Lytechinus pictus: one gene and its partners. Each later gene encodes a partner of the first gene's protein in a complex. Links are inferred from orthologs where the notes say so. Each region holds a gene or a part of one and is shown in the gene's direction. Other genes may lie near its edges.

Evidence for each region.
Region 2: general transcription factor IIF subunit 1-like (region 1) and DNA-directed RNA polymerase II subunit RPB3-like share a complex: the UniProt entries of both Homo sapiens proteins name them as parts of the TBP-based Pol II pre-initiation complex. The link is inferred for Lytechinus pictus from reciprocal best matches to the Homo sapiens genes GTF2F1 and POLR2C.
Region 3: general transcription factor IIF subunit 1-like (region 1) and general transcription and DNA repair factor IIH helicase subunit XPD-like share a complex: the UniProt entries of both Homo sapiens proteins name them as parts of the TBP-based Pol II pre-initiation complex. The link is inferred for Lytechinus pictus from reciprocal best matches to the Homo sapiens genes GTF2F1 and ERCC2.
Region 4: general transcription factor IIF subunit 1-like (region 1) and transcription initiation factor IIA subunit 1-like share a complex: the UniProt entries of both Homo sapiens proteins name them as parts of the TBP-based Pol II pre-initiation complex. The link is inferred for Lytechinus pictus from reciprocal best matches to the Homo sapiens genes GTF2F1 and GTF2A1.

The regions. Positions count from the first base shown.
Region 1 is NC_087255.1:31,039,410-31,047,331, forward strand, and holds the start of general transcription factor IIF subunit 1-like, read left to right. Parts: upstream 1-4,916; 5' UTR 4,917-4,931; coding exon 4,932-5,041; intron 5,042-6,455; coding exon 6,456-6,528; intron 6,529-7,840; coding exon 7,841-7,922. UniProt on the Homo sapiens protein: TFIIF is a general transcription initiation factor that binds to RNA polymerase II and helps to recruit it to the initiation complex in collaboration with TFIIB. It promotes transcription elongation.
Region 2 is NC_087246.1:61,220,078-61,227,735, forward strand, and holds the start of DNA-directed RNA polymerase II subunit RPB3-like, read left to right. Parts: upstream 1-4,652; 5' UTR 4,653-4,863; coding exon 4,864-4,949; intron 4,950-7,181; coding exon 7,182-7,300; intron 7,301-7,658. UniProt on the Homo sapiens protein: Core component of RNA polymerase II (Pol II), a DNA-dependent RNA polymerase which synthesizes mRNA precursors and many functional non-coding RNAs using the four ribonucleoside triphosphates as substrates.
Region 3 is NC_087251.1:46,649,548-46,656,896, reverse strand, and holds the start of general transcription and DNA repair factor IIH helicase subunit XPD-like, read left to right. Parts: upstream 1-4,339; 5' UTR 4,340-4,456; coding exon 4,457-4,461; intron 4,462-7,349. Other genes in the region: protein CEBPZOS-like, read right to left, coding at 1,759-1,862, 2,334-2,378, 2,981-3,104. UniProt on the Homo sapiens protein: ATP-dependent 5'-3' DNA helicase. Component of the general transcription and DNA repair factor IIH (TFIIH) core complex, not absolutely essential for minimal transcription in vitro.
Region 4 is NC_087251.1:22,636,875-22,644,521, reverse strand, and holds the start of transcription initiation factor IIA subunit 1-like, read left to right. Parts: upstream 1-4,640; 5' UTR 4,641-4,754; coding exon 4,755-4,778; intron 4,779-5,142; coding exon 5,143-5,244; intron 5,245-7,636; coding exon 7,637-7,647. UniProt on the Homo sapiens protein: TFIIA is a component of the transcription machinery of RNA polymerase II and plays an important role in transcriptional activation. TFIIA in a complex with TBP mediates transcriptional activity.

The DNA.
Region 1 (7,922 bases):
ATGTATATTTTCTATGCAGAGGGGGCAGTCTGCCCCACCCCCCCTGACGAGTCCCAAACCATGCAAAAGACGTATCCATGCCCCCCCCCCCCCCCCCCGACGAGCTTGCAGACCTTGTTTTTGCTTGTCAAATTTTTTGGCCGACGGCTTTGCCCCCCCCCCCCCTGTGGAAAATCCTAGGTACGCTACTGTTTCTATGATTTTAGATATAGATATTCCTACAAAATTAATGTTACCATGGTAACGGCAAATTAAATATCAGACCTATTTATGAATATCGCCACAGGTAGATTTACGTTCAGCACCAATTAATTCGCGGAAATAGCAAGAAGATCGAACTCTACAAAAGTAAACATAATCCTTTATAATATCATGACGAGTATCGCACTGATTAATATTAGTATGTGCAATATAGATGTAATATTGTGCGCTGTTTGTATTTTATCAGAAATGCGCATCCGATAAAATGTACATTGTTATCTTTCGCATATATAACATAAAATGATATATCTTGCATCTTATCTCAACATTTGTTTTCACTTTATGTGCCATGACAACAATTATTATGTATTTATTCGGTTAGCGCTAAAATTGACGAAATTGAGATGCGGAACACAAACATTATACTATTGATAGTTTTCACAAACTATTATTTTTAGTAAATCACGATTTTATATTTCATATTGCCATATATGTGTGTGTAATATTCCAAATTGAAATGCATATTTAGTAGACTTATCATTTAAAACTCTGAATAAAAATAATTCCATATCAAAGATAATCAAAAATATGATGATAATCCGTCAAAATATCAAAATGCGTGATTTTCAACAGTCTTTCAAATTTTATGCAAAAAATGATACTTTCACGCAAAAGTGTACTTGGCCTCCGCCCGTACGTTATTCCTCAGTTTTTCCGCAAGACTTTTAGCTGGGATGCAAAGAATTGACAAATTGTGCTATCTAATTAAAAACTCGCTTTAGTATGTACTTATACATGTAATTATGTACATAATGTACGGTATTTTCAATTTTTCTTTCAAAATGCGCACCTGATAATTTAAAAATGCACATTGTCTCCTTTCGGATATCATAAAGTGAGATATCTTCCATCTTACTTGTAAATTCTTTTAATATTTGTGACATTAGGACATTTACTATACATTGGATGGACAAACGCAGTTAAATCGAAGAATTTAAGCTGCGTAAAAAAAACTTCAAACTATTGATAGTTTTCACAAACTTTTATTTTGAGGAAATCGCGGTTTTATGTTTCCCTGTGCCATGTGTGTGTGTGTAATATTCAAATTTGAAATGCATATTTAGTAGACTTATGATTTAAAACTCTGAATAAAAATAATTCCATATCAAAGATAACCAGAAATATGATGATAATCCGTCAAAATATCAAAATGCGTGATTTTCAACAGTCTTTCAAATTTTACGCAAAAAATGATACTTTCACGCAAAAGTGCACTTGGCATCCGCCCGCTCGCTATTCCTGGGTATTTTTGCAAGACTTTTAGCTGGGATGCAAAGAATTGACAACTTGTGCTATCCAATTAAAAACTCGCTTTAGAATGCACTTATACATGTAATTAAAAACTCGCTTTTAATTTAGTAAGTACTTATACATGTAATTATGTACATAATGTACGGTATTTTCAATTTTTCTTTCAAAATGTGCACCTGGTAAAATGCACATTGTCTCCTTTCGGATAACATAAAGTGAGATATCTTCCATCTTACTTGAAAATTCTTTTAATATTTGTGACATTAGGACATTTACTATACATTTGATGGATAAACGCAGTTAAATCGAAGAATTTAAGCTGCGTAAAAAAAACTTCAAACTATCGATAGTTTTCACAAACTTTTATTTTGAGGAAATCGCGGTTGTATGTTTCCCTGTGCCAAGTGTGTGTGTGTAATATTCAAATTTGAAATGCATATTTATGAGACTTATAATTTAAAACTCTGAATAAAAATAATTCCATATCAAAGATAACCAAAAATATGATGATAATCCATAAAAATATCAAAATGCGTGATTTTCGACATTCTTTCAGTTTTTACGCTAAAAATGACACTTTCACGCAAAATTGCGCTTGGCATCTGGCCGTACGCTATTCCTGGGTATTTTTGCAAGACTTTTAGCTGGTATGCCAAGCATTAACAAATTTTGCCGTCGAATCCTTATCTAGAGCACTTTTTTACTTTTGGCCGGTCTACTACAACGTGATTAAGGTTGTTTTTTTTCTTCAAATTTTCGCTGTTTGCGCCTACCTCTAAGAAACACCCCTTTTTCTATATTTTTTCTTGCAGATGCTGTCCAATGGACCCCCCACCCGCTTACAAATTGTGATATATTGTGACTGGTAAAGACATCCACAAGGATGATGATGTCATTCAAGATGGCACTTTCCAGTAATACCAAAATAAGACAATTTAAGCGAGACTATTACCTCTGCCACTTTCGCAATGGCTGCGGGAACGGCATCAGCGTCATCAACATTGAAATCTTAACCAAAGTTAAATTTTTGAAATGTCATTATAAACTGAGAAAGTAAACTGTACATGAAAATACATAATAATAATAATAATACTCAGTTCTTGTATAGCGCATAACACATAAATAACGTCTCTATGCGCTTCCAAAGGACTTGGTTATTATTACCCCGGCTGTAGCTCAAGCAGCTAGCTTCCAGCACTCGGCATTTCAAGGAATTCACCTCACCTGGGTTGAGTGCAGCACAATGTGGATAGATTTCTTGCTGAAGGGAACTATGACATGGCTGGGATTTGACCCCACGACCCTCTGTTTCAAAGTCCGGAGACTAATCCACTGGGCCACAACGCTCCACATTGTAGTTAATGAGTCTTGGGTCTTCCAAACCAGTTTGAATGACCACTTAAGATATCCTCCAAGAATGCTTCAAGCGTTCCCATTACTTGTTAAACTAGTTTCCAGTATTTGGTTTCCACTAAACTAGCTTCAGGACTGGAATGAGAACGGGGTCTTTTTGGTGTTAAAACAAGGGGAATTGGTGACAGATTACCTTGTCAGGTGAAACATTTGTGTTACTCACTTGCACACCAATACATAGGAAGGAAGAGAAGGAGGAGAAGATTCCGGGGGGGGGGGGGGGGGGGGCGGGGAGAAGATTTATGCTTACCTCACAGAGGATACATAGCAGTAAATTACACTCCTTGTGGTTAAAATCCATCTTAAATACAAATGCTACGAAAAGGATGCCTCTTGACACAACTGTAAAGGCAGATATCAGCACTGTATATATTTATAGTTTATTTAAAATTCATGCAGAATCCATGTGAAATTGGTAAATTATACAAACTAGAAATCAGATACGACCAAGTGCAAGGGATCAAAGAATTTGACACCCTTCTGAACTTGTCATGCCATAACATGATACCATTAATTAAAACTGGTGCTTAGTGCCTACTTGTTGTACATAACCTTCATGACTGAGTGACTGTGATTCAATTATTGCATATCTCTTTCCTATTTTCTCATCATGATTCATTGTTTATTTGCCTTTTTTCTTCATTCTTTGTCAAATATCTCTGATTTGATTTGTTAGCAATGAAACATCAAGTTTTATGTGCACTTTCTTGATATTTTTGTTCTTTTAAAATTGGCTATCAAGTTGTGCAGGTTTGAGATTATGATAGCAGTCACTTGCATGAACATGTCTGTAACACATCAGTATGATTTCTTTATTCTTAAAAGAAAAAAAACAAGTTGTTTTAACTTTTTTTAATGTGAATTTAGTTTCTGATTACCCTAACTTTAATATTGTATACATTAATTTCAACAGTTAGAATATTGTTTAATATGTTAATTGGAATTTGTTGGTATATGATATGGTTTACCTTTATGTCCTTGTATCTTTTTCTTCTTCTTCTTCTCCTTTTCCCCCTTCTTCTCCTTCCCCTTCTCCTCCTTCTTCTTCTTCTCCTCCCCTCCTCCTTCTTCTTCTACTTCCTCTTCTTCTTCTTCTTGTACGTCATTGTCTTCTTCTACATCTTCTTCTTTTTCTTCTTCCCCTTCTTCTTCTTCTTCTTCTCCTTCTCCTTCTCCTCCTTCTCCTTCCTTTTCCTCTTCTTCTTCTTCTACGTCTTCTTCTTCCTTGTTTCCTCTTCTGTCCACATTCTCCTCATTCCAGCCTTCTGCAATAATAAGGAGGACACAGTCTAGGCCAAGAAAGATTTAGTTTAATGAAAACAAGATAGTGCATAGGGGAGATCGGGGTTAGTTGGAACATTTTTGACAAAAATGGCTGTAAAATCCAAATAGAATTTATTTGAGAAACAATCAATATATCAGCTTAAAGCATAAAGGGCTTCAAATGTACCCCATAAATTTTTGAACTCTATGATGATTACTGAAAAAAATCCACCTTGAACAAGACCATCGCAAGCGTTCCAACTTACCCCATATACGGGGTAAGTTGGAACACTGCATGGTCAATTAAGAATTATACTTCTACTTACAACTGTTATATTACATGGTTTTGCTTTATTTTTTACAAGTTCAAAAAATTTAAGGTGTGTATTCTGATTTGTTGAACTTTATGTTTTCTATTATACAGCCACTCACGCAAGCCGACTGTGTAGTAGGATTACGCGTATTTGTGTGCGCATGATTTTACATGCAATTAAAAACAAAAATTCCTTTCTAACTTCACCAGGCTTGTTGCACATGTGTTGTCTGTAATATGGTGGATGGCAGTTGATAATGGCAATAAATTGAGGGCAGTAGTGCATAAATTTATTAAAAGGCGTTAAAGAAAATTACAATGTTTCAACTTACCCCGCGTTCCAACCAAACTGATCTCCCCTACAGTATCTCTATAAAGAGAAGTTTAGTGTTGTCAAGTAAGTAAAGTACATAATTTTGAAGGGAAAATAATGTATATATTTTTCTTTTCATATTCACAGAGTACATCTTCGTCATCCTTATCAACACCTACTAGACCCAATACAGGAGATGTGAAGGAATTCAATTTCAGATTCCCTCTGTAAGTGTACATTTTAACGTTCAATTACTATTAATTAGTCCTAATTTTGTATCCTGCATATGAGCTTTTTTTCTCTCATTGTCTTAAAACAGGAAGCTAGAAGTCAAAGTTGCTCGCTTGTCTAGCTTGGCTTCTATCTGGCCAGGCTCCATTTGGGGGTGACAACCCTAGCTTGCATCCATATGCACGAGCTGTGAAGGGGAATACCCTGTTTCAGTCCCAGGAGCAAGTGGCTTTGGCCCCTGGCTATATCTGGTTTGGGTTGACTGCCCATTCCAATTCTAATTACTTTAGTCACATTATTTAATTATGTGGCAGTCACTGGCCACTTTTCATCAGATCATGATGGCAACATCAGGCCCAAAGAACAATGTAAATAAAAACAAAAAAAACAAGACTGACTGATGCTACCACACTTCTTCACCTTCATCTCCAATAATAAGACTTCTATATCCAACTATCCACTTGGTCTACTAGCAGATGTTCTAATTTGCAAATTATCTGACACCATCATGGCTCTTAATACAAACTTGGTCTATTATCAAATTGGTCTAATTTCTGTGTGGTCCTACCATCAATTGCAGGGCTCAACTTTAAAAGGGGCTAGGTCATTTTTGATTGGGCACTTTTAAGGAAAGGGAATGTGGCACTCACCTTTTTGGGCATCCAAGGGCATTTAAAAAGGGCATCAATAGAAATATGTACTGTACTTCTCAATGGGACACATACACTGGATTACCACATGTTTTTGACATGGTTTGAAATTAGGCTAAAGTGATGCAATGGAAAATAGGAGATTAGCGTATGTCTACTGTCTTTGTTAAGCTTATTTTGTTACGTAGGATGTTAGATTTGGCTATATAGCAATTGAACAAAAAACTTGAGATATTGAAGAAATGGAATAAACTTGATTATATACTGAAGAAAGGCTTTTCCAGAAGCATAGATTATGAAAAGGTTTGTTATGGAATGTGTGGGTACCCTCCCCCCCCCCCCTCACCCTCAGTCGCATTTTAGCGTCCAAATATGTTCCACAAATTTCCACTTTGAGTTAGGAGCTCACCATTTAAAAACTAAATATTAATGACACAATCAAACCTGCTTAAACAACCACTTGTATAGAAGGACAACATGCCTGTAAAGACCACAACCTTCTATTTTTTCCTTGTATAGTATTCTGCATTGAAACATGTATTATAGCAACCTATCCATAAGGACCATATGCTCGTAAAGACTGCTTTCCTTGTCTACTTTGAGTTGTCTTTATACACAGGGTTCACTGCCCTATGTTCTTCTCATGCATGGTTGTAAATAAAAAGTATTTTGCCCCCCCCCCCTCTCCGCCCTTGACCTTGCCCCTCCTCAAGCCCCTAAGCCAAACATTATACAGTTATACTATTCTTTTTTTCCACAGGAATCAGAGGAAGAAGTACAGTGTGATGCAATTCAATAGAAATGACAATGTTGATCTCTCCAAATGGAAGCAGGTACACATGCAATTATATGGTTAATTAGTGGAGAGTGCAATCAGGGGGAGGGGGGGGGGGTCACAAACTTTGAAATTCTGACTGACCTACAACATCTCATTTACAAGATAGTGCATGTCCAACACTATGAGGTAATGTGTTACACCACACACAACTAGGAATTTAAGTGCAATCTTAAGTCAAACTTAGATCTGTACATGTACATGTTTGTGACCTACCCCCCCCCCTCTCAAATACAGGGTCACTTGTCATAACAATGATATTGCGATTGATTAAGCCCTGGTGTTGTGAATTATGAAAATTACATGTAAACTTGACATGTCATTTCTAACAGTCCAGTCTTATAAAAGCTTAGTGACCAGTGTTTAAGTTTTCATTGATACTTTATAAGAATGAGAGTGTTTGACTGTTTATTAAAACATCTTCCTATGTACTATTTAAGCCATAAGCCAAGAGAGTTAAAGGGATGGTCCGGGCTGAAAGTATGTATAATTTAATAGATAGAGTGGAATTGACTGAGCAAAATGACGAAAATTTCATCAAAATCGGATAACAAATAACAAAGTTATTGAATTTTAAAGTTTAGCAATATTTTTGTGAAAACAGTCATCATGAATATTCATTAGGTGGGCTGATGATGTCATTTCTCCACCTGTTCTTTTGTATTTTATTATATGAAATTAGGTTTATTCAAATTTTTTCCTCCAAGAACTAGAAATATTGGATTGACAACTGATTTAGTGCGTTAGATATTTATTGCTGCAACTTATTTAATTATAAGGGAGACATACTTTTCACACAAGTATGAAATAATGAAAAAATTATGATTTTATGTAATAACATAAGAAAACGGAAAGTGGAGATGTGACATCATCAGCCCACCTAATGAATATTCATGACGACTGTTTTCACAAAATATTGCTCAACTTTAAACTTCAATAACTTTATTATTTGTTGTCCGATTTTGATGAAATTTTTGGCATTTTGCTCAGTGAATTCTACTCTATGTATTAAGATATAAATATTTTCAGCCCGGACCATCCCTTAATATCATACTCCAAGATATACAATTATCTACAATTGGGATATTTCTATTAATTAAATATTCATGCTAGGGGAAATGTTTTACGTCTTCTGAATGAGTTTGTTTGGATTGTTTTACATCTTCTGAATGAGTTTGTTTGGATTGTTTTATTTTGAAGGAGATTGTTTAGATTGTTTTACATGTACATCTTCAGAATGAGTTTTTTTTTAAATCCGAAGACATAGACAAATAACTTCCACAATACCTCCTTTGACCACCGTTCTCTAGGCTAAGATGGAACGAGAGAACAACAAGATCCACTACAAGACGGACCTCGATGACCTCCCAAAGTTTGGGGCAGGGAGTGAGT
Region 2 (7,658 bases), on another chromosome or scaffold:
AGCTCGCGATCCGCGCTCGCATTATTGATTTTCATGATGAAAAATGAAATGTATTCAGAATGCCCAGATTCTGTCTAAGTCTAAAACACGTGCACGCATGTTTATTAAGATACGCTTCTTGATCTTATTCAAAACGTGCTAAAATTATCCATTTTCAGATCAGAATATAAAAAAATGTCTGCTCGCACTTTGCGCTCGCATTATCAATGTAGGAAGATACCAAAAACTACCCATCATTTTTCATGAGTGACAAAACATGAATCGAGTGTCCCGTTGGGGGTTTGAAATCTAATTTTTTAGGTTGGAATATCAAAAATGTTCAGCTCGCGCTTCGCGCTCTAATTATTTAATCGTTGAAATATGTATCGTCTTAATGGCTAACTGCAAAACTTGCTTAACAGGTCCCTTTTCGACCAGGCCAGAACGCACATTAAAAATTTCTGCTCGCGCTTCGCGCTCGTAGTAATTATCTAGTTACATACGCATCTTGTTCAGGTTCACAAACATTGCCCAGAATGTTCAATTTTCAGGTCAAAATACATGAAATTTAATTATTTTTTTATCTCGCATAGGGCTTAAGAGATTATTGCACATTCATGTTGTTTATAAAGTAAAGCTAGGAAATGACTGTTAGGACATGGGCGTTTTGCCCCCCCCCCCCAAAAAAAAAAAAAAAAAAAAAAAAAAAATCACGACCAAGAAAAAAAAGAGAGAAAAGGAAAGGGATTATGGTGAAATATAATAAAACTTTCCAAATATATCGCGCTTCGAGTTATCATTATTTATTTAGGCCTTGTGAGATACCTCAATGTGTTTTTAAGAATAAAATTTCGTAATTTCTTTAATTTCTACCCCCCCCCCCATTTTATTTATTTATTTTATCTTCATGCCCTCTACAAAAGTTCAACAAGCCCCCCCCCCCCCCCGTGCAACCCTGCTGAATAAATCACAGCTTCGCCACTGATGAGGAGATTGAGTCGATTGCTTCGAGATTGCATTATTCCCAAGAGGTTATCATTGATATTATTGAAGGCTATTCTAAACAACTAGTAAAGAAACTACAGCTCCCGTTCACACAATATTCTAGTAGGGCCTACTCTGGTGAGAAGTTAAACCAAATTGAGACCCCCAAAAATCGCTCGCGCTTCGCGCTCCCATTGATATTACATTATATTTTCATGGATTTTTTTTTTCAAGAACACATTAAAAAAGTGGTCTTTAATTGCCTTTTTTTTAATGTGATTATGTAATAAGATAATTCAAAATACATTTAAGGCATTTAAGTTACATTTAAGTTAGCCTGGCCGGGAGGGAGGGGGCGCAATTTTTCAAAAAGTACACATGGGCGCCAAAAATCAGGTCAAATTTGGGCCCCCCCCCCCCCCCCCCCCCTCCCCACGAAATCTTGGATCCGCGCCTGTCAACAGCCATAACGGCAAAGTATGTGCAGCACAAGCAATACCAGATGCTGACATCAAATTATGTGGTTATGCCAGTGATGGCAAACATCTAGGCAGATCGTTGAGGCATGTGAGGCATATGTCAGTGCGACGGTTATATTAACCCTAAAAGGCTTCGCGCAATATTTCGGAAACGCAAAAAGATAGCGCCGCACTTATGACTTTTTTCTTGTCTCACGCAACTTCCGAAACCAAATTCGCGACATACGGGCATAGCATCGCGACGTCACGTGACTTTTTACGAGACAATGTCGATATGGCAGTTATTTTATCTTGCCATGTTGACATAATAGCCTAATTATGTCGACATGACGAGTTATTTTATCTTGCCAGCGAGCAGAATTTTTCACATTCCGATCTGAAAACTGGACACTTTAAGCACACTTTTCAATAATAAGACATAATTTGAATAAACATAATTTCATGTACAAAAACAAAAGAACAAGTTGGGAAATGACGTCATCAGCTTGCTTATTGAATATTAATGAAGATATATATGCATAGAACTGTTTCACCGAAATAATGCAATTCTTTATTATGATATATTAACTTCTTTATTCCTTGTCCGATTTTGATCATATTTTCAGTGTTTTTTTTTTCTTCAAAATCATATTATTTTTAGCTTGGAGTACCCCTATAATGCATATGCAAATCGCTGAAAATGATTGATATAGGCCTACTTACATGAAAAGTGGATATTTCAAACACTGTTCTTTGGAGTTTGGGAATTAAATGGGTTACACACCTCGCTAATCAAATATTATTCAAGACTTTTGGGGGCTGTTGGCAAGCGGCGGGGTTCCGCGGAATCCAGGAATTAACCCCCCCCCCCCCCCGGCTACGGCCCTGTTTAAAGAGGAAGTTCACCCTGAAGAAACCTTTGTTGTAAAAATAGCAACAACAACAAATATTGGTGAAGGTTTGAGGAAAATCCATTAAAGATTAAAAAAGGTATTATAAGTTTTTGATTTGTGACGTCATAAACGAGCAGCGACCCCATATGTTATGTAATACATGTATAGAATGCATAAATTTCAAATTTTAAATGGTTCGTGATAACCATTTTTTTTCTCTTTAGGAACAGGTGTGAAATAATATATCTATTGATATACTAAAGGTATACAGTAAAAACCAGCATTTTCAATTTTTTGAGAAAATGACATTTCATTGATTTTTGTTACCATACGATATGCAGGACAGCTGTTCGCATATGACGTCACAAATCAATTGATCAACATTTTAATAACTTGTTCATTCTTCGATGGATTTTCTCAAACCTTCGTCAAAATGAATATCTTTTATTATCTTTTCTGATTTTTTTAAATAAACTTTTTTTTCAGGGTGAACTTCCCCTTTAATCTTCAAAAAATTAAGCATGGTTGTTCAGACTGTTAAACATTTACTTAGCCGTAGGCCTAAACTCCCCTAAACTTAGTAAATAGCTTTGTATAAGATTTTAAACAGCGATTTTACTGTATTTATGAATATTATTTTAAGCATATCTTATATAATGCATCTAATTATTTATTAGAAAATTTAACATCAGTAACTTACGTGACAAGATAGCTTCTCTTGCTCCTTACGAAATTTTCTGAAACATTATCTAAGAAGTAAATGTATGAATCTTTCCTATTACCATTTATTACAGGGGCCGCGTAAGCGGGGGGGGGGGCTGGGGGGGCTTAAAAATTACCATATGATTGTGATTTTTTGCATGGTCAGCCCCCCCGGCACTTTGAAAACCGTTCCGCGGCCCCTGTTATTATGTAAACCTCCCCATTGACACGATGTAAAGCCCCTGATGTATTTCTGTGGTGTGCGAGCGTGTGTACGTGCGTATGAGGGAGAGACAGAGGGCATTAATCGTGTATTCTGATTGAACAGAAAAAATGGAGGCTGAAGCCCCCCCCCCCCCCCCCTCCAGATTCCGCGGCCCCTGTAGAATTGGCTCCAATTACTCTGGCCCGAAAGAAACTGTTCATGCTGGCAACTTGAACGAAGCGTTACTTTCTTTTTTAATCTGTAAAATTCAATATTTGAAAAATAGGCCTTGAACTACAAAAGTGTGGAAATCGCTGAAATACTACATTTGCTTAAATTCCAATGTCTTACGGTCTATGGACTAATTACCCGAATTCGAGCTTTCAAAATCATGGACCTACTCAAAATGGGCCTATCGATGAGAAGCAGTCCATGACTGAAGAAGTACCCTCATCTGGGTGGAGAATACAACACATTGTAGATCGATTTCTTACTGGAGGAAATTATACGCAATGGTTGGGATTCGAACCCATGACCATGTTCATCAGCGCCCCTGAATTTGGATAGAATACTAGTTGAGAGCGGGTTTGACCCATAGAGATATATACTAATAACGCAAACTAGTAATATATCTCTATGGTTTGACCAAAATCACACTAATTTTTGAGTGCCAAAACTTTTTTTTTTTGCTTGATTTTTTTTAAACCAAAATCAACTTTGATTTGGAGAGAAAACCTTTTTTGGGGAGTTGCTTAAAAAAAAAACCAGCATGATCCTATCCTCATTAAAAAAATTCCTAGACCACCCAGCTGCCCACGATCTCCTTTGCAAAGTAGGCCACAACACTCCACAAAATGTGATAAAAATAAAATTAACGTCTTTAATTCCGTCCACTATATATATTTGCGGATCGAAGTTGCATGAGGCATGTTCCTAATTATAGCGGCTGGCATATATTAATAAATCACAATTGGTAATCATATATTTTTTTACGGAGCATAGCTCTCAAAAATGAAAGATAAAATCACACTCTTCGTCAGGGCCCATGGGGTGACAAAAAGATTTATGCCCGGTGAGTAGAGGTCCACTCGGAAAAAAAAGACAAAGCAACTGAACTAGACGAAGAAATGCAAAATCAATGTAATGAAATACACGTCTTTCAATGAATGATTTGGATCTGGATTTTAGGCTATAGGGCCTATATTTCATGCTCTTTGGGATGGCTCTTTTATTTTTTTTTTTAATTTATTTTCATTTGTTTGAAAAGATATCATTTTTCAGACTGAATTAATGTACCCTTTAATGTGAAAACTGCTATTTCAACTAAGAAAATCATAATAATAAAAAAAAAAACATTGGATGAAACACTCAAAACATGCCAGGCCCATGCCAGGACAGCTTTAAAAAAAACTCCATACAGGTGGTATATTGTAAAGGCGTACGTGTTGCAAGAAAACATATTTGCAAATATTCTGTAGCAATTTTACATTTGATCAGTTTTAGTTTCTTGCAACGCCCGACTCGCGCAAAATCAAAATTCGCCACCATTGATTGCCAATCGCGTTCCATACTCATTTTTATTCCGACTCCGAGGACCGACAATCAAATTTCTGATAAAATCTTACAGAATTTGTCTAGAATTATGCCTTATGCCAACCAACCAACGATACAGTTAACGGAGCTGACTGATGACAATGTGAAGTTCATAATCGAAGACACAGATCTTAGGTAAAATTCGTTTATAAAGTCAAAGAGTAACTTTTAATGTCATGTGTGACTTGAGCTGTGCGAGTTGGATTAGCACGCAATGTCAATTGGGTTGAAACGAACAGGGTTTTTCGGTCGTGCTGCTCACTCAGTGACTCACACGTATTGCGAGGTTAGTCCTTAACTCTTATCTTAAGGCTTTAGTATACTAACCTCGCACCCACTCACACGTATTGCGAGGTTAGTATGCTATAGGCCTACAAACCTTGCACGACGTATCCGTACGTGTCTACGCAGTCGATATTTTACTAGTTGTCGGTTAACATCGCTTCATATTAACGGGAATAATGTTAGCCAAAACTAAGTCAAAACTCATTCCGCTACTCACCACTGACACCACTTTTTCTGGTGACGGGCGTTCCATTTTCATTTTTTATATTTTTAATATACAAAGCACATAAAAAAAGAGCAAAATCGCTTACCTCGGCCGGGGAAGTGGCTTGCCTTTGCATGTCTCTTCCATCAGTCCATGGAAATTAAAAGGAAGGTCGTTGGTGGCGCTAATAGTAATAGTAATACAATTCACAACCTTATTTCAGCTCGTCTGTATTTTATAACTAGAAAAAGTCTAGATTCATTGTATGCGAAATTCCCATGATTGTTTGATAAAATATAGACACCAATAAATGCAATAACTTAAAAAACATACTTTTCAGATTACTTTTGCTGACACTAATACTTTTTGGAAAACATCCAAGGCCAAGCGATGACAAATTAAACAAAAAAATAGAAAATTCTAGGCCTACATGCCTTGAACGAAGCCAGCAGTGCTACCGTTCGTTTGTCAACGAACATTCCACCGAAGTCTTTACAATAAAAAGATTGGACACTTTGCCGACTTTGCATAACACTTTGCATGTAAATCGCACGCCCTCTTTAGCTAATTAGACAAAAAAAATCGGAAATTAAAAGACGGATCCATATTTTATCAACGAGAAGAGAAATCAGCGCTTAAATGACTCGGATATTTGTGATATTAGGGGGAATTGACTTTACATCGTTCGGTAAGTTTCGTAGAAGGACTTGATTTTATAAAACCTCTTTTTAATTATATTTGCGGGATTGCCATGCAATTGTTGCAATTTTGCATGCGCCATGCCTTCAATTTTCCTGTACACGGTGCGTAATGCACCCATGGGTGACATTAGGGCTGTTATCGATAACGTCTTTATCGATAGTCTTGTCGATAATCGCTTGTTTTTGCCACTTAGGGATATCTATAACGTTTCTCTCGTCAATAATACCCAATATTATGTTTGGACTCAGTGATTTTCCGCGATTTCACAGAAATGGCCTTTTGAAAGTGGCTTTTCAAACGGAAAATCACGGAAAACATATTTTTCCTCAAACTGCACAGTCACAGAACAGCAACAGAAATTACTCCAAAATCTTAACCAAATATGAATGCTTACTAGGCACAAAACACGATCTCACCCCCACTTCGCTATAATCATGTAAAAATATTTTTTAAATATCATCATGGAGTCCTTAAGGCTACATGTAGCAACCACCCTGCCTGTGTGGAAAATCTACATGACATGGTATGCCAATGCAGTACAGAGCACATACATAAATAATTAATTTAAAAAAATTTATTGTAACCAAAAATACTAATTTCCATAGTAATCATGGTAATACAGTTGCAATTTATTTTATTAACCTTGCCCGTACCATTTTTATATTCACTAAAGTTAACTTAGGACGCTAAAAAATCTATTTCTAATTTATAAAAAATAATTAAAAGAATTCAATTTACTTAAGAGCCAAGTTTATGATGAATAGCTGTATTGGAAACTGACTGTCAAAAAATCAAGTTTTTGTCCCCTAGAACAGGAGAAAATACGCCAAACATTGCCAACCTTATTTCACCACACAGGGAGTAACAGAGAACAATGTTATATCATAACCTTGTTCATTGAATGAGTGCATTGCCCCAAATCCCAAAACTAATCTACTGTAGAGTAAAATCCCCCATATCAGATGCTTAAGCATAATTGGACCAAAAAAATACAGCGCTAATGGCTAATTATACAGTTTTGCACCGGCCGACCTTGCGATGTTACATTGTAGGACACTAATTTAAGATTTTCACCTCAAATTTTGTCCGTTGATCGATCGATCCCACTCATTCTTGACAGTAAACAAGGTTCTGAAGTACTCTTTTCTTTTTCTTTTTTTCTGTATTGACCACAGTGTTGCGAACAGTATCAGGAGGACTATGCTGGCAGAGGTTCCCACAATAGCAATTGACTGGGTAGAAATTCAGGCAAACAGCTCAGTCCTTCATGATGAATTTATTTCTCATAGAGTTGGTAAGTTCTTAAGATAAGATTTGCCAGCCCTAAATTCCCAACACTGAACATATTGAAATCCTGGATGTAAAATATTAAAGAAAAGTTTAGTGAAAGAGCACGCAGTCAGTGACCAAATGGGAGAGTGTGTCTTATTATTATTTTATTCGGCACTTCATCAAAAACAAGACAGCATGTACAATGCAGGATTGAGAAATAGTACAAAAATACAAATAGTTTTTAGACCCTTTCTCACCCAACCAGGTAGCCTGGGTAGGGAATAGGTCAACTTAATGGCCATGGCCCACAGGCCTTCCCTCCCACACCCGATTGGGTGAACAAAGATCATTACATAATAGAGTTACAAAATGGAATAACA
Region 3 (7,349 bases), on another chromosome or scaffold:
TATCTATTGTATTTGTGATAAATCATCGAAAAATCTTGGTTTCGTTTTTTGTGGGATGCACTGTATTACACTGTATATTACATGCAGAAACACATGCAGAATAATTCAATACATTTGACTAATAAAGTGATTTATTAAAATTTTATGCATTTAATAAAAGATACTTAAGTGAGGGACAAATTACACTTAGAGTTAGGGTAGGCAAGACATGCCACTTAAATAAGGATCTTGATAAATGGGCAACATATCTACAGGTAGGGCTGACAAGCAACCACCCCTATATGTTTAAAGTAGTAAAGAAAGAGAGAAACACATGTTGTGAAGAGAGAGACAGAGAGGGGGAGAGGGGAAGAAAATGAAAAAAAGAGTTTGAGAAAGAACCCACTTGCCTGTCATGGTACTGTTAACTCCAAATATTCATTTGATAAATTGTTCTGTCATCTTGACAAGTACCCCAAGCAGCTGATTTGATAGTTTTTACATTTTATCTTTCACAGAAATTCCCCCTTCAGAAGAAAACAATCAGTAGTTCTTATCAAGTGAATACCCACGTGTAAAACAAGCAACCCATGATGATGTTCAACTGATATCCTAATTGTTATGGAAAGGGATTTTTTTGCAACTTAACTAGTACCCTGGCACCACTGCTTTTTTTATTTTATTTTTTTATAGATGTCATGATTTTATATTCATCTTTAAGGGAAATCCCAGTTGTGCAATAAAACAATTAGTAATTCTCATCAATACCTACACATACAATGTGCAAACTATATTGACGTTTGACTGATATCTCAATTGTTCTGGAAAAGATTTAATCACCATAAGAATGACATGATCAAACATAATGCAACAGATGAATATGAATTTAAAACTAGCATTATATCATTGACCCGACTTTGTTCCTTGAGAACTAATCATACATGTCATGCATGTTTCACTATTATGTTCAAGAAGTTCAAAGAACATGTTTGTCGATTAGTACAATATGTTGTTCATGTCAACAGTAACGAATGGGTGAACTTTGTTAACATATCAAACTCCTTTATCATTCTGATAAGGATGTTCTGTGGCTGTTACATAAAGAGTTATAACTATGATAACTTTGCTATTATGGCAGCTACCATGGTAACAGGGCTCAATAGCAGATCAAAATCAAGTTTTCAACGGATGACGGAAGTAAGAATAATGGCAAAGTTACCATAGTTGCTAGTCTCTATGAAACCGGGCCCGGGAGCTCCAGAAATTTGAATGCATTTGAAATTGTTAATATAATATATTCCTCAATACAGAGATCAGATACATTTTGTATAAATATCGTATATTTACAAGTTTGTCATCATTTCCTATGTAAAATAATTATACATATACTGTTCAAATACCTGGCCCTGGGGAGCATTACATGAAACAATAGTCAGTGATTGTCACTGATAATTGTTATAAGCTACCAAAATCATTGAATCTGATTGGCTCAGAGCAAATTTGTAAACAAAACACACCCCAGATCACTTGCCACAGGCAAATTGACATGCAAGTATGGAGACATTGAACAAATAATAACAACAAGTCTTCAGGAGTGTTGCTAAGTGGAACTTCTGATGGAGCCAACATGAAATACCCTCTTCAGACTGTAGAGGGCGGCAGACACATTAATAGATCCTCTGTGATCAATTTCATCTGATGCTGCTACTCAATTCAAATGTAAACCTGGAAGACTTTAAGTCTATCTAGTATTAGTCCTTTAATAATCCTCAGTAGGTTTCATAAATCTTCATCAACAGTTTGTTTACTACTGATGCCCCAAGTTGCATAGTCCTGCTGCCGCGCATCCTTAAATCCTCCGAATTCTGCCCCCTTGTAGAATACTGTAAGGAAGATATAAGACAAAATCAGATTACTCAATCATAACATACAGTATATCCCTTTTACATTCAACACACAAAACACAGACTTGCTCAAAAGCAGTCTGTTCTGACTGAATGTGAGTTTTACCATGATTAAATAAATAGTTCAATAAAATACCCCAAATCACTGACATAAAGTCAATGCACCACAGGGCAGTTCCACAATGTCATCAATAAACATTTATATATTCTACATTTTATCAAGTGTCAATGAGCAAGATAAATAGTTATTAATGATTAAGGGTGACTGGTCTAATTGGCATTTTTCTATTCTCTTCAAATTGACTGCAATCTAAATCTTGTTTTATACTCTCCAGTACTCAGATTAAAGCAATTTTCTTTGTAATAAACACATTCAAATTAAATACCATCTATTGATGGGTAAAACAAACTTCTATTTCACAGTGAAAATTGCTTGTTTAAAATACTTACATTCAAGAACCTTGGGATGACTCTCATGCATATATTTCCTAAAATCTGAAAATAAATGAGAAAACAGGCCTCGATTCATTAATAAATGATATACGATATAATGCTTGATAAAACAACTTCAATAAAAAGATGCGCAATTATTTGCAATATGATAATTTAGCCATATTCAGGGGCTGTGGAACAATTTTGAAGTGGGGGGGGGGGGGGGGCAAAGAGCGTAAAGTCACAATTTGATGATTATCATGGTTTATGATTGAAGCTGCTACCTTTAACAATTCACCGAACAGGTCATAACATAAACAAATAAACACAACACAATACATTAACTTACTCTTTTAATCGGATTAGGCACAGGGGCAAGTAATTCAATTTGATGACTACTAGCCTAAAGGCTACCCCCTCCCCAAAAGCATGTACTTGAAATGAACAATCTGGATTTTTAATAATAATAATAGATGTGATATCTGAGGTTCCAAAATCCAATTGAATCTAATAAATGTTCAAGATGCACAGGTGAAAAGAGAGAAACAAAACACTATCAAACTATATATATGCAGAGTTAAATGAGTAAGTCTTCAGTTTTACTATTAATGCTTTTTTTGTTCAATTTTCAGAGTTGCTATATAGTATAAGGTGAGTAACAATACCTTGTTGAGTGTTCATCCTGTGCCATACATAGTATGCAGCTCCAAAGAACCCTATCTCAGCATAGACGACCCATTTCATACCTGTCCACAGCCGACGACCACCGGAACTACTGAAGTTAAACATGCCTGAAATGGTAATGAAAATAACAAGAAAATTGGATACAAGCACGGATCCAGTTTAAAATTTCACGGGGTGCTACAGGATCCAAGATTTTTTAAAAGGGGTGCCATAATTTACCCGTTGAAAATTTGACCAAAAAAAAAAAGGTTGTCGCCTAAATTTAAGGTCAATAATTTGTCCGCCAAAATATTAAGCAAAAAAAAAGTTATTCACCTATATGTAAGGTCAATTCGTCTCATTTTTAAAAATCCTACGGGGGGCTTACGCACCTTCAACCCCCCCCCCTGGATTCGCGCCTGATTTATACTTGTCAATACAATTTAAGACAATTTTTTATGACCTAGATCTACATACAGATTTCATTTGCAATATGGGATTGGAAAGTGATGTATAGAGATGCAAGGAATTGCTTGGACAGGATTGAACAATGGTCTTTTAATCATAAATTATAATTTCCATATTGTGGACAATACAAATTTACAAAACAATCTCTATTTCCCTCCCGCTTGTCCTTGCTGTTCAAAGATTTATTTTGAAATTTAGTCTATATAAACAGTTATATTCGCATGGAAACTTTACTCCTCAGAAAGATGCAAAAGAGAAGTTTAATTTTTATTAATCATTCACATATTCACTGGTAACTCATTTACATTCGTTCACACGATCTCTGCTATGACTATGTACACACGCCAGCAGCTTCACAGGCCCGAGTTTGGAGAGCTTAGAGAGGTAACCCCGAACCCTAGGCTTGGCTGCGGAGCGGGGCGAATCCGGAGTGAGTGACAGCCTTGGCTTGCGCATTATCCTGCCTGGCCTTAATATGGCCCAAAATTGCGAATGCAATATATTTACCTCACTTGGTATCTACGATATAATGCCGTCAGAAAAAGAAAGAAATTGGTCTCCTCCTCACTATACCAAAGCAGTATAAGCTGAAAAACAATAAAATTATTATATTTGTTCGCCTAAAATGTAGATCCCAATCGCCAGATTGATGAACGCAATCTCACGTTTACCGTCGCAATACCTTAATATGTATGGAAAGCTTGAAGTACAATAAATATGTAATATAAAATACCCCTCTTATAATTAATTATTTTAATATTTCAATTCAATATTTTGTCCAGAATTGAAGTAAAATCGTATTTTCTTAAAATAGTTTATTCAAGATCAATGCATAAAATTTGAAGAACTTAACAAATGAATTCAATCTCAATTTTGCATGGGATCAATGGCATCCCATAGCCTTTAGCCAGATTCCGAAAATTAGAATTGGATCACGGAGTTAAAAAAGAGATCCTGTAAATTACATCATATTTTAACTCGAAAGTCAAGTAGAAGAGCGTCACGTAGCAATGAAGTAAGATGTGCTTGCCTGCTATTGTTTAATTCATTGTTGAATTTGATATTTGTGATTGAGTTTTGAACTTTGAATTGATGTAACGTGGTGTGTTTACCAAAAATCCCACGCGAGAGAATTGGGCGAAACCTCGGTTTATCTGGTCCGACAGACTGGGGCTGGGATGAAGGCAGTGGTACGCTCGCTCTCTGCTGCGGCACGCGCACGTAGCGTTGTGATTTGTCTCTCTTTAATTTTGTGTACATTCTCTCCAAAAATTGCGCCCTGGATTTGGGGAAATGGATGATAGATTATTTCTATTTATTAAAAACTTAAGTTAAGATTTTTCTAGAGAAAGAAGTTTCTAGATCTAGCTAGACTAGAGAAAGAAGGTTGCTTGCTTGGGCAGTAGAGGCGCACGGCCAATATGGGAGACTCTCTCCAAGAGGGAGACAATCTCCCATATTGTAGACTTGCTTTGCAAAAGGACAAAAGAAACAACACCAACAAAAGCATGATTTTTTCCACCCAAAATTTTGTATCTTGGAAGACTTCAACGCCTTCAGAACAAATGTGCACGATTAATCTGTCAAAAACCAAAATATTGTCATGCTACCTAGGGACAGTGATTTTCCGTTTAAAAAAATTGCCTTTTCCATTTCAGAAAATCTCAAATTCCGTTTCAGCATGTCAGAAAACGGAAATTCCGTTTCCCCATAGACTTTGTACACACGGAAAAGTGACAATTCCGTTTTTAATACACATTGAATAGCAAAATCACAACACTAAGGTACACTCGCACTGGTCAAAATTTGTATCTGCTACTGTACCAACAACACAATAGAATCCGTTCTAATCGGATCTATGCGGGTGCATAAAATATTTTTACAAACCCATTTAGCATGCATACATCCTCACCTTTCACATTATTAGCATTATTTTACGGTGAAATGATATTTCATCGATGATTTTGGGGTTTTTTGGACATCGTTATCATCAGTCAACGGCTTTTGCCAATCCGCCATCTTGGATTTTCAGACCACGATATCGTGCTGTTACATCTTCAAACGTAGAGGGCAGCAACACACGACCGTGTAGTTGAACGATATGTGTGCATATGTGAAGCCCAACCCGGCCGGCCGGGTACGGGTACGGTGCGGGGTACAATCGAGTGTGCTGATGTCGAGTGCAGTCACGATGTGTGAATTGTCATGATAATAGCGAAGTGAGATCGTGTTTTCTGGGGTTTTGTGGCCATTTGATATTCTCATTTTGTTGTGATTTTGGAGTAATTTATGTTGCTATTCTGTGTATTTTGAGGGAAAATATGTTTTCCGTGATTTTCCGTTTGAAATGCCACTTTCCGTTTCAAAAGGCCCTTTCCGTGAATTCCGTCCGTTTTCCGCGATCGCGGAAAATCACTGTCCCTAGCTACCCCAGTACCCCTCTTCTAAATGAACTTGATTGGCTACCTGTTTCTGATAGAATACATTGTCGAATACTTGTTTAAACCTATAAATCTCTGTCAACCACACTTCCTTCTTAAATTTTTTCACTATTTCAGCAACAAAGATCTACATACTCTCTTTGTTCTGCAGCTGCTCCTTCCTATGTCATTCCAAAGTCCAGAAAACAGGCTGGTTTCAACTCTTTTCAATCTATTGCCCCCCCCCCCCCCCCCCCCCCCGTCTTTGGAACAAACTCCCTCCATCTCTCCGAAACCTCTCTTCTCTTGACATCTTAAAAAAACATCTCAAAACACACTTATATAGCCATAAACCTTAACTTGTCTTATGCCATCCATAGCGCTTTGTATCCTCTGGAAAAAATGCTATATAAATCCAATTATTATTATTAATCTCTGAGGACTCAAACAAGGAGATGAAATATGTGTCAGGCTTATACTTTGAGAGGACAAGGTCACATCGTCCACATAATTTCTTCTTGAATAAGAAAAGGAAAAGGGGGCAATTCAAATCTCCATGAGGCCAGTCAACAGGACATCCTTGGCCTTCATTGGTCTTGATGTGTTGCCATTAAAGATGTGGCTATCCTGGAACTAGAAAGCTGGCAGCTGTCTATTTCGAGGAGTTTTTTTAACATTTTATTATTTTTTTATTTCTTGTACACAGACGGCTCGCGATCGTGCAGCCGCGCCATTAGGGGATTAACAATGCGAAATCCCCCGACATATATAAAAAGAACTGGACCAAAAAAAAGTGACTTACTTCGGCTGTAGCGCAACTCCCACTTCCCTGGTTTATTCGAACTTAATACATAAACATATGACCATTGAGTCCTTGTAAAGATCGTGTTAGAACTTCGGTCTCTGTAATTGGTGAGTGGAGCCGGCCAACAGAGTTCAGCGGAACAACCAATATAACAGAGACCGAAGCTTTTGGTCTATCCTGGAACTTGCTTTATAAATGACTTAGTCCCTAAGGTTACTGCAGACATTGATAATTTGATTCAGCCCCCTCCCCCTAAAACTGAGGCAACTTATCTTATTTCCAGAAGTTCAATTCGGGGTTGGCAGTTTCCCAGAAAATTTAGGTATTTCCTGCCAGTCAAATGAGAAATACTGGCCGGAGAAACTTAAATTCTGGGAAGTACTTGAGTACAGGGTCAGGGAGGTACAGCGCAGTGGCAAATTGTCCATTGTCTGTGTACAACAGATAGACCATCTCCTCACAGCGATTTGGAGACCGCTGATTGGTCCATTGTGCAGATCACGTCATGACTACGTGGTCGCCAAAATAATTCCTTTGGACCGCGTGCGGAAGTTTCGATAACGATATCCGGTCACATTGTCTATGCGTGAAATGGTCTTGGTTCGTGATCGGATCGCTCCAGTATCAATAAAAAATTATTGAGATTCAGCAATTTCATGCATATTCATGCAACGTTCC
Region 4 (7,647 bases), on another chromosome or scaffold:
GACGCATATCGGATACTTTATACCGAGGTTTTATACCTGACTGCTAAGAAAGCACGAATGCCTGTGAGCAAGCAACCAGGGGACCAACGGCTTAAGGTCCTCTCCGAGGGACCTGGAAATGAGGATAAATGCCTTACCAAAGGGCACTAGCGCACCATTTGGGAATCGAACCCGGGTCACCGGAATCCGAAACCCCCGCTCTACCGACTGAGCTATCGCGCCTCTAAAGGCTAACAGCAGAGCTGAAAGGGTCAATTTACAATCTAAAAAACAGTGAATTTACATTAGGTATGAGTAAAGTGTATAGAAATGTAGGTTTAATGTAGGTTTTCAAAACTTATCTCTTCCAATTTTGCATCTATCATGAAGATGACATAAAACATAAGGTAAAACACAATTTGACACAGCAGCAAAATATAAGACATGGGCCTAAGATTATGAAACGAAGTGTTGTAATGTCTGTTCACAATGTGCGCCTAGTTGTTCTATCACAACATGCCATAATCAGTGGGTTCTGTGCAGGCGCGCCGGAACACTTTCAGTTTTAGGGGGGCAAAATCCCGAAGGGGGCACAAGTATTTTTGATAGCGTGAGATACCGAAGCGATCGAGCGGGAGAGTGTGTGGGACCCCCCATGGTAAGGACTTTGTGTAAAAATGGAGTATAAAAGTTGCGTATCGAAGAGCATTCAAAAATAAATTTCTTGAGAATTAAACATAGAATTCACTACGAAAGACTATACTCATAATTTATGAGAACCTATGAAATCTACGCGCAAAACAATCGTTTCGGAATGTGGTTTTCATGTCTGATCAATTAAATTACGTATTATACGCTTATATTGACTCAAAATACCAAAAATTTTCATGCAATATCCTTTCAGAAACATAAGCGATGGCTTTCACTTCGCTCATGCTTTTGGAAAGCCTAAATTGCCTTTTTCCAGTTTGAAAACCCCTTCTTGCTGAAAACCTCTTCTTCTCTTCCACCACTAGGATTTTTTCGCAAGCACCCTTGTCGGCATATATGGCAAAATGCCGCTCAGGGCGAAACCGCCTGCCGTGATTGTCTTTCTTGAAGTTAGCTGAAGTAGACTGATTTGGGTTTTTCCTTTAAAGAACTTCGGTTTCTTGTCCCTTCTGGCATATGGCAGGGTTTTCGTGGATTGTGGAGGACTCTGGCAAACCTCCACTTGCTTGAGTTGACTTTGTAGTGTCCTTTTCCTCTTTTTTGTACTTTTGAAAAGTATGTTAGGAGTGATCGAGATCCTTTCGCATTGTCTTGGAGTTCTTTTTGCTCCTTCTGTTTCCTCCCGTTTCTTCATGATCAGGGTCGCAGTTCCAGCAAATGACGAGCCTGGCAAACGAAATTGTTTCAAACAAATGTAATATAGGCCTTTTAAAGACTTTAAGATGACAAACATGACCGTACGCAGCCGGGGGCCGCCGATCGAGAGGGCAAAAATTCATTGAAAATTCACCAAAAGTGTGCACGAAATCCTTCAATTTTATTCTAGAAAATGCAAAAGCTCCCCCATCACAAACCCCCTCGCTCTTAAGTTTCTTTGAAAATTTAGTTCTTGCAGCCCCACCCACCCCGGATTTTTTTATATTTTTGCATACGTCCATGAATAACAAAAGCTGGGATGAACCAGAGAACATAGCTGCCTCTCGATCTGATTATATAGTAACAGGTAATGGGAAGGAGTTTTGGAATCTAAAATACAAAAGTGCTATATTATCATATGAGCTGAAATAGTATCAGACAAAACGCCTGCCAATCATGCCAATGAAAAGGAATCGAGGAAAATACGGGACTATGAAAATATCTTAAGATTTTTATAGTAGAGCAGTACTGTAACGCTTATTTTTCTTTTATATTCTTTATTTACATTTTTATTCATATATCTCGGATAATATGAGTCAGATCAAGTAGACACTTTCATAGATGATTTTATTTTTTCATGCATAAGCATTATCTCTAAGTTGCTTTCGAGTGGGATTCACCATTTTCACAAATTATAATCCTCTACACATAATTATTCTGTGTGTAATTTTCTGATAACATGTCTATATTGAGTTGAAATGACCTTGGTATTTTCTTTAGGGCACTGACTTGTTATCATTGTATTAACTCAATTCATATTTAGTTGAAAATGAAATAATTGAAATAAGTTTTCATAATTTAAATCTATATCTTTATCATCTACTTACTATTTCAGGGATGACTTCCACAGGCAACAAGTATATGAGATATTGACGACCTCGAGATGTTATGGTTTCTGGGCTTAACAGCTATGACATAGATTCCATAATGTTGCTCGAGTAACTAGCGTTCACGCGCGTTAAGGCCACCGCACACCTTATACTGTTCGCGATCCGATTTTGGAACAAATCGCATTTTGCTCATTTTCTGAAGATGTGAATGGAACATATCACTTTATTTGAGGTTAAAATTAATTGAAAAAATAATCTTATAACCATTTTGAAAGATTGCAAGCCTTTATTTTGAAGTAAAGGCCAAATTAGTTTCAAATCGTAGCCAATCATACGACTGCTATGACGTCATTACGACTAGATATTAAATTCTCTTTTATTCTAAGATGATAATATAGTCACAGATTTGATCATAGGTATTCGTACGATGATTTATGACATTACACAGTAAGACATTCCAAGTCTCAATATTAGCATCAAATTCTACAACATTTTATTCTGAAATCGGGTCGCAGACCAGTCGTAAGGTGTGCGGTCGCCTTTAGTGATATCGGGTCCGGTCTGAGCGTTTGGGCGACCGCGCGTTTGTTAGCCGACACAGCCAGCATGCATTGGTGAACCACTTTCAATTTGCCATTCGGTTTTAGTCTGAAATGTATTCATTAAAAGGTTAAACGTTATCACACTGTAATAAGATAGAAAAGGGGTTTATCAAAGGTATGTTTCACATGCAGAGGGACATCGTCAAAAGACGCGAGGCTTACTATGATATGTAATAGCCCCGTCATTCATTTTTGACAATGGAAATTACAATTTTTAGGCAGAAAAGTGCCTTCATCGTTTACTTTTGTCCTTAAATTATTTATCATTTTCTACTTTTAGGGGGGTACATGGGGGGGGGGGGGGAGCAAAATCTCGTTTTGCCCCCCAAAAATTTTATTTGGGGGGGGGGGCAAGTGCCCCCCCCCTGCCCCCCCGCTTCCGGCGCCCTTGGTTCTGTGTTCGATTGCCACCGGGTCAGTAGTGGTAAAGTGACCATAGATGCACCTTGTTTCCCGGAAGGAAGCGAACGCCAATGTATTGGCTAGTTGCTCGTTGATCATAGAATACTCCCCTAGCTAGGGAATATGCATATACACTGTATTAAAGTGGCAAGCCATATTGACCATTATACTAATCTGTATATGCGCATCAGAAGGCTCGATCATCGATGTGATAAGCGCAATAAAAGTGGATTTTGAACAACCAAATCGGTAAAGGTTAACTGAATGTAAATAAAATCTTTGTTTCAATTTCTGTTTTGAGGAATCATTTTTTCATGTTAAAAAGAAAGTACACCCCCAACAGTTTATTTGAATGAAGATAAAAAAAATCAAACAAGTAGAAACTTCATCGAAATCGGATGTGAAATAAGATAGCCATGACATTTTAAGGCTTCGTTTATTTTCCAGAAATAATTAAATTCACCATATGCACATAAGTGAAAGAGTCGATGGTCTCACTCACTTACTATTTCTATTGTATTTTTTGTACGATATCTCAAATTTTGCAAATTTTTTCAATAAAGGAACCCTACATCGAACATCAGCGTTAATTCCACATTTTCAGGGAGGAATCAAACTTTGTTTCACAATATAATGAGGAGAAAATGAAAACATTCATATTTCATAAAATAATAAATAGTGAGCGGGTTACACGATCAGGGGAGCGTTTCATCAGCATTTTCATCCGACAACTTGTCAGATCTGACAACTTACCTTGATTTTTGATTGGCTGAGAAGCAATATTGCTATGGCTACTGTCAGATAAAAACAAAAATCTCCAAGAATCCTCATTTATATACTGACCAGGATGTACAAATACCTTGTTTGTTTGATTTTATCCTTCTTCAAATCATTTTTTTTGTGAGGATAGACCATTGTCCTGTAAGGGATAGAGATTTATTTATTCACCTGCATGAACATTAATTAGAAACGAGGTGTTGCCAAGGATTTCACTGCATTGCGGATGAATGATTTGTATATTTTCAAAAATCAAAACTACCTGCTAAAAATGGTATATTCGTCATTCATTGAGGCATTTATTCCAAATTCGTATTCTTCATCAATTGTCATATAGCAGACGACAAACTAGATAACGGAAGCAGACGATTTTTACATACAAGGCTATTAGCAAATTATGAAAACAAAACTCTATTATGAAAAAAAATATTGACTTTTTGATTGTATATTATTACTAAATGTATAAAAACTAATTACAATTAACCAATTTTGTTGTTTTATACATGTAATGATACATTATATTTTCATTAACTTGAATAGTTTTGAACGAGGAGTTTTAATAGGGGGTATGACAATTCCTTCAATTTGCCGCTCCCCTATAGGTGAAAAAGAGAACTTGTTGACGAGTATAAAAGCCACGAGCGACAGAGTTGCAGTGGCTTCGGTGGAGCCGAGACGTGAGGAGAGAAGCGTACCTGTACTCTTTTTTTCAACTCTCATTTCATCAGATCTGGACCTTTTCTTTTGAAATTTGAAAATGGCTTCTAATTCTCAGACTGTGGTGAGCCTTTATGGGATTAATAAGAAAATTCACGGGGAAAAATATGTGTTTAATTAAATAAATTGTCTTTTTTGAAAATGACTGTCTATGAACCGAGTCTGATTTTGATTAAAATAAAAAATTTCAGTAAATATTTAGGGAGATAGGTCAGACTCAGTCAGAGGACGCATCCTTCTTGACGAAATTTTGACGTCAGATAATAATATAATAAACAAAATTAACGACAGATTATTGGATGAATTGGTAATCGATGATCATGGTTTGCAGGGGTTTGTCTTTTTTTCAATAATTTCCTGATAATGTAGATCTATTCATCATATATATTTTCAGCCTTCCCTAAATTCTCTTCTTTCGCATTTTACAGCACAAATTGTACAAAAGTGTAATCGATGATGTGATTAACAACGTTCGAGATGCATTCTTGGACGAAGGAGTGGAGGAAAATGTTTTGCAAGATCTGAAACAGGTAAGAATACGCTGCCTGCGCCTGTTTGAACATTCTGCCAGTGGCAAAATATGTACAAAGCTGCTCTCGTTCTTCTGTACATGTACCGGTAGTGGTACTGTGATAATCGCACAGAAAATATTTGCAATGGCAATGCATATTACACGTCGATTGAGAGGACTGATGTTCTCTCAAGAGGGGCTTTTTCGGATGCCTCTTTTTCGTTTTTGCCAACTCCAGCACGATGTATAGATTGTTCAGAAGATCCCCTACCCTAAGAACAAAATTTCCTCTCTTTTCGACTCCACATTCTGTTTTCCCACTTTCCGATAAATCCTTATTTGTAGGAACCATTCGCGCCCAATTGTGCGGTGTGTCACGGCAGCGGTCTCGGCGTGAACTGCCATCTTTACAGGAGCGCCGCGACCTCTTGTTAGGGTTCGATTTGCATATGCCCATGTATTTATACTGGAGCCTCATTTGACTACAGATCGCCTTGCAGCCAATGACATTCGTGTATTTGGTTGAGTGACCTTAGGTTTTTATACATATTCATGAAGTGGTATTTAGTGAACCAATGAATATCCGCCGGTGCCCTGACTCATGCATAAAGAAGCTTATTGATCATATGTCTTGGTAGTCTTCGTGTCTATTCTCTTTCCAGACCCTTTGAATTACCGTTGAGGTTGGATAAAATATGAAGCAAACAATCAGAGGATTGCTATTTTGTTTTCAAGCACATCTTTTGATATTATTTGAAACCTAGTTTTTAGCACACTATGCAATCATTAATCACTATTGGAATATTTATTTTTGAAAAAATTAAAAAAAACTTTAGAAATTATGCATGTGTAAGACAGACAAGTTTAAAATAGAGTCTCTTTGAATAAACTACCATTTGATGTCATTCATGCTGGACTGGTGAAAACTTATAAATGACCTGTTTCAACCATTCTTTTTTTGAGGGATTTTTTTTTTTTTTTTAGAACTCAATGAAAAAAAAATTGCCAGGTGTTATTTCTTATGTCTTTCATCAAATCTCTAGTCAGAATAGAGATACTGCCCTCTTCATTTTCCCCCCTTTTTTAACTTTTAGAAAGTTCTTGGTCTGCAGCCAGGTTTGGGCTTGGGGGGGGGGGGGGGTGGGGCTCCCTGATGCTTCCTCTCAATTAGCTTGGAATAAGTCCATATTTATTGTAGTTTGGCGAAAGCAAAAAAAGAAATTTAAATAGGCTAAAACAGGCCTATTGGGTATATGAGATGTGCCGCTGGGAAGGGTGAATTTTTCAAGAAAAATCCTTAGACATTAACCTCCCGTTTTCATAAAAAAGATCTTTAGACATGATTCCAATTTCCACAAAAATAATCTGAAGACATGGGGTCACTAATTTTTATATTTCCCACGTTATTTTGTCTGAGATTTAGAACTGTGTTTGCTCCCAAATGATGAAATATGCAGGGCCGAGTCAAGTATGCCTAAAAAATATTCATATCCACAGAAAATGAATAGTACATTACATACCGTAATTTTTGTCCCAATGATCAATTTGTCTGGTATGGCGCAATCAGATAATTGGTGCTGTATAATATATGCTTCAGTTGGTGCGGGTTTGAAACTCACCAAACACTTTCAGAATGTTTAGAATTGAATTATATTATATTGCACCTGAAATGTGTTAACATTAAAATTCAAATTCAAACATGGGTCGTCTTTTCACAGAAAATCCTTAGAGATGGGTGCCTATTTACGGCAAAAGAATCCATGGATGTGGGTATGGGTTCAGGGGTCTCACTTTCACACCCCCCCCCCCCCCGAATTTCGACTCGTCTCTTCTTTTTTTTACTTCCAATTTTAATATTTAAATGATGAATAATCTATGATTTTTATGAAATTAGTTTTAAATATTTTTTTTAAATAAGTAATAAACAAAATTAGGGGATTTGGCATAAAACAGTAGCATAGTCTGCATGATTTGTCCTTAACTTGAATAATTGCTGGAGCCAAAGATTTGTTTTTCAGACCAGAATATTCAGAACATGTTATTTACATCTTCTAAGTCATACAGGGAAAAACTCATTCCAGCTTACAAGATGTAAAATAGGTAACATACATGTACATGTACCTGGGAATTAGTGGCAAAGTACCTCATAAGGGCATAGTTCAAAAGTGGGGAAACCTTGAAGCTAATGAGGGTTTCCTGAATTAACAAATACTTTTGTTTGTTGATGTAATCATTTTACAATATTATTGTATCAATATTATAATAGATTTGTTCTAATCATTAAACTATTTTATCATGATTATCATTATTATCATCATCATTATCATAAAGTTTCATTATGAAAAAACAACTTTCCTGTTTCATTTTGGTTAATCTTGAGATGTCTATTTTGCTTTGCAATGATTGAACAGATATGGGAGGG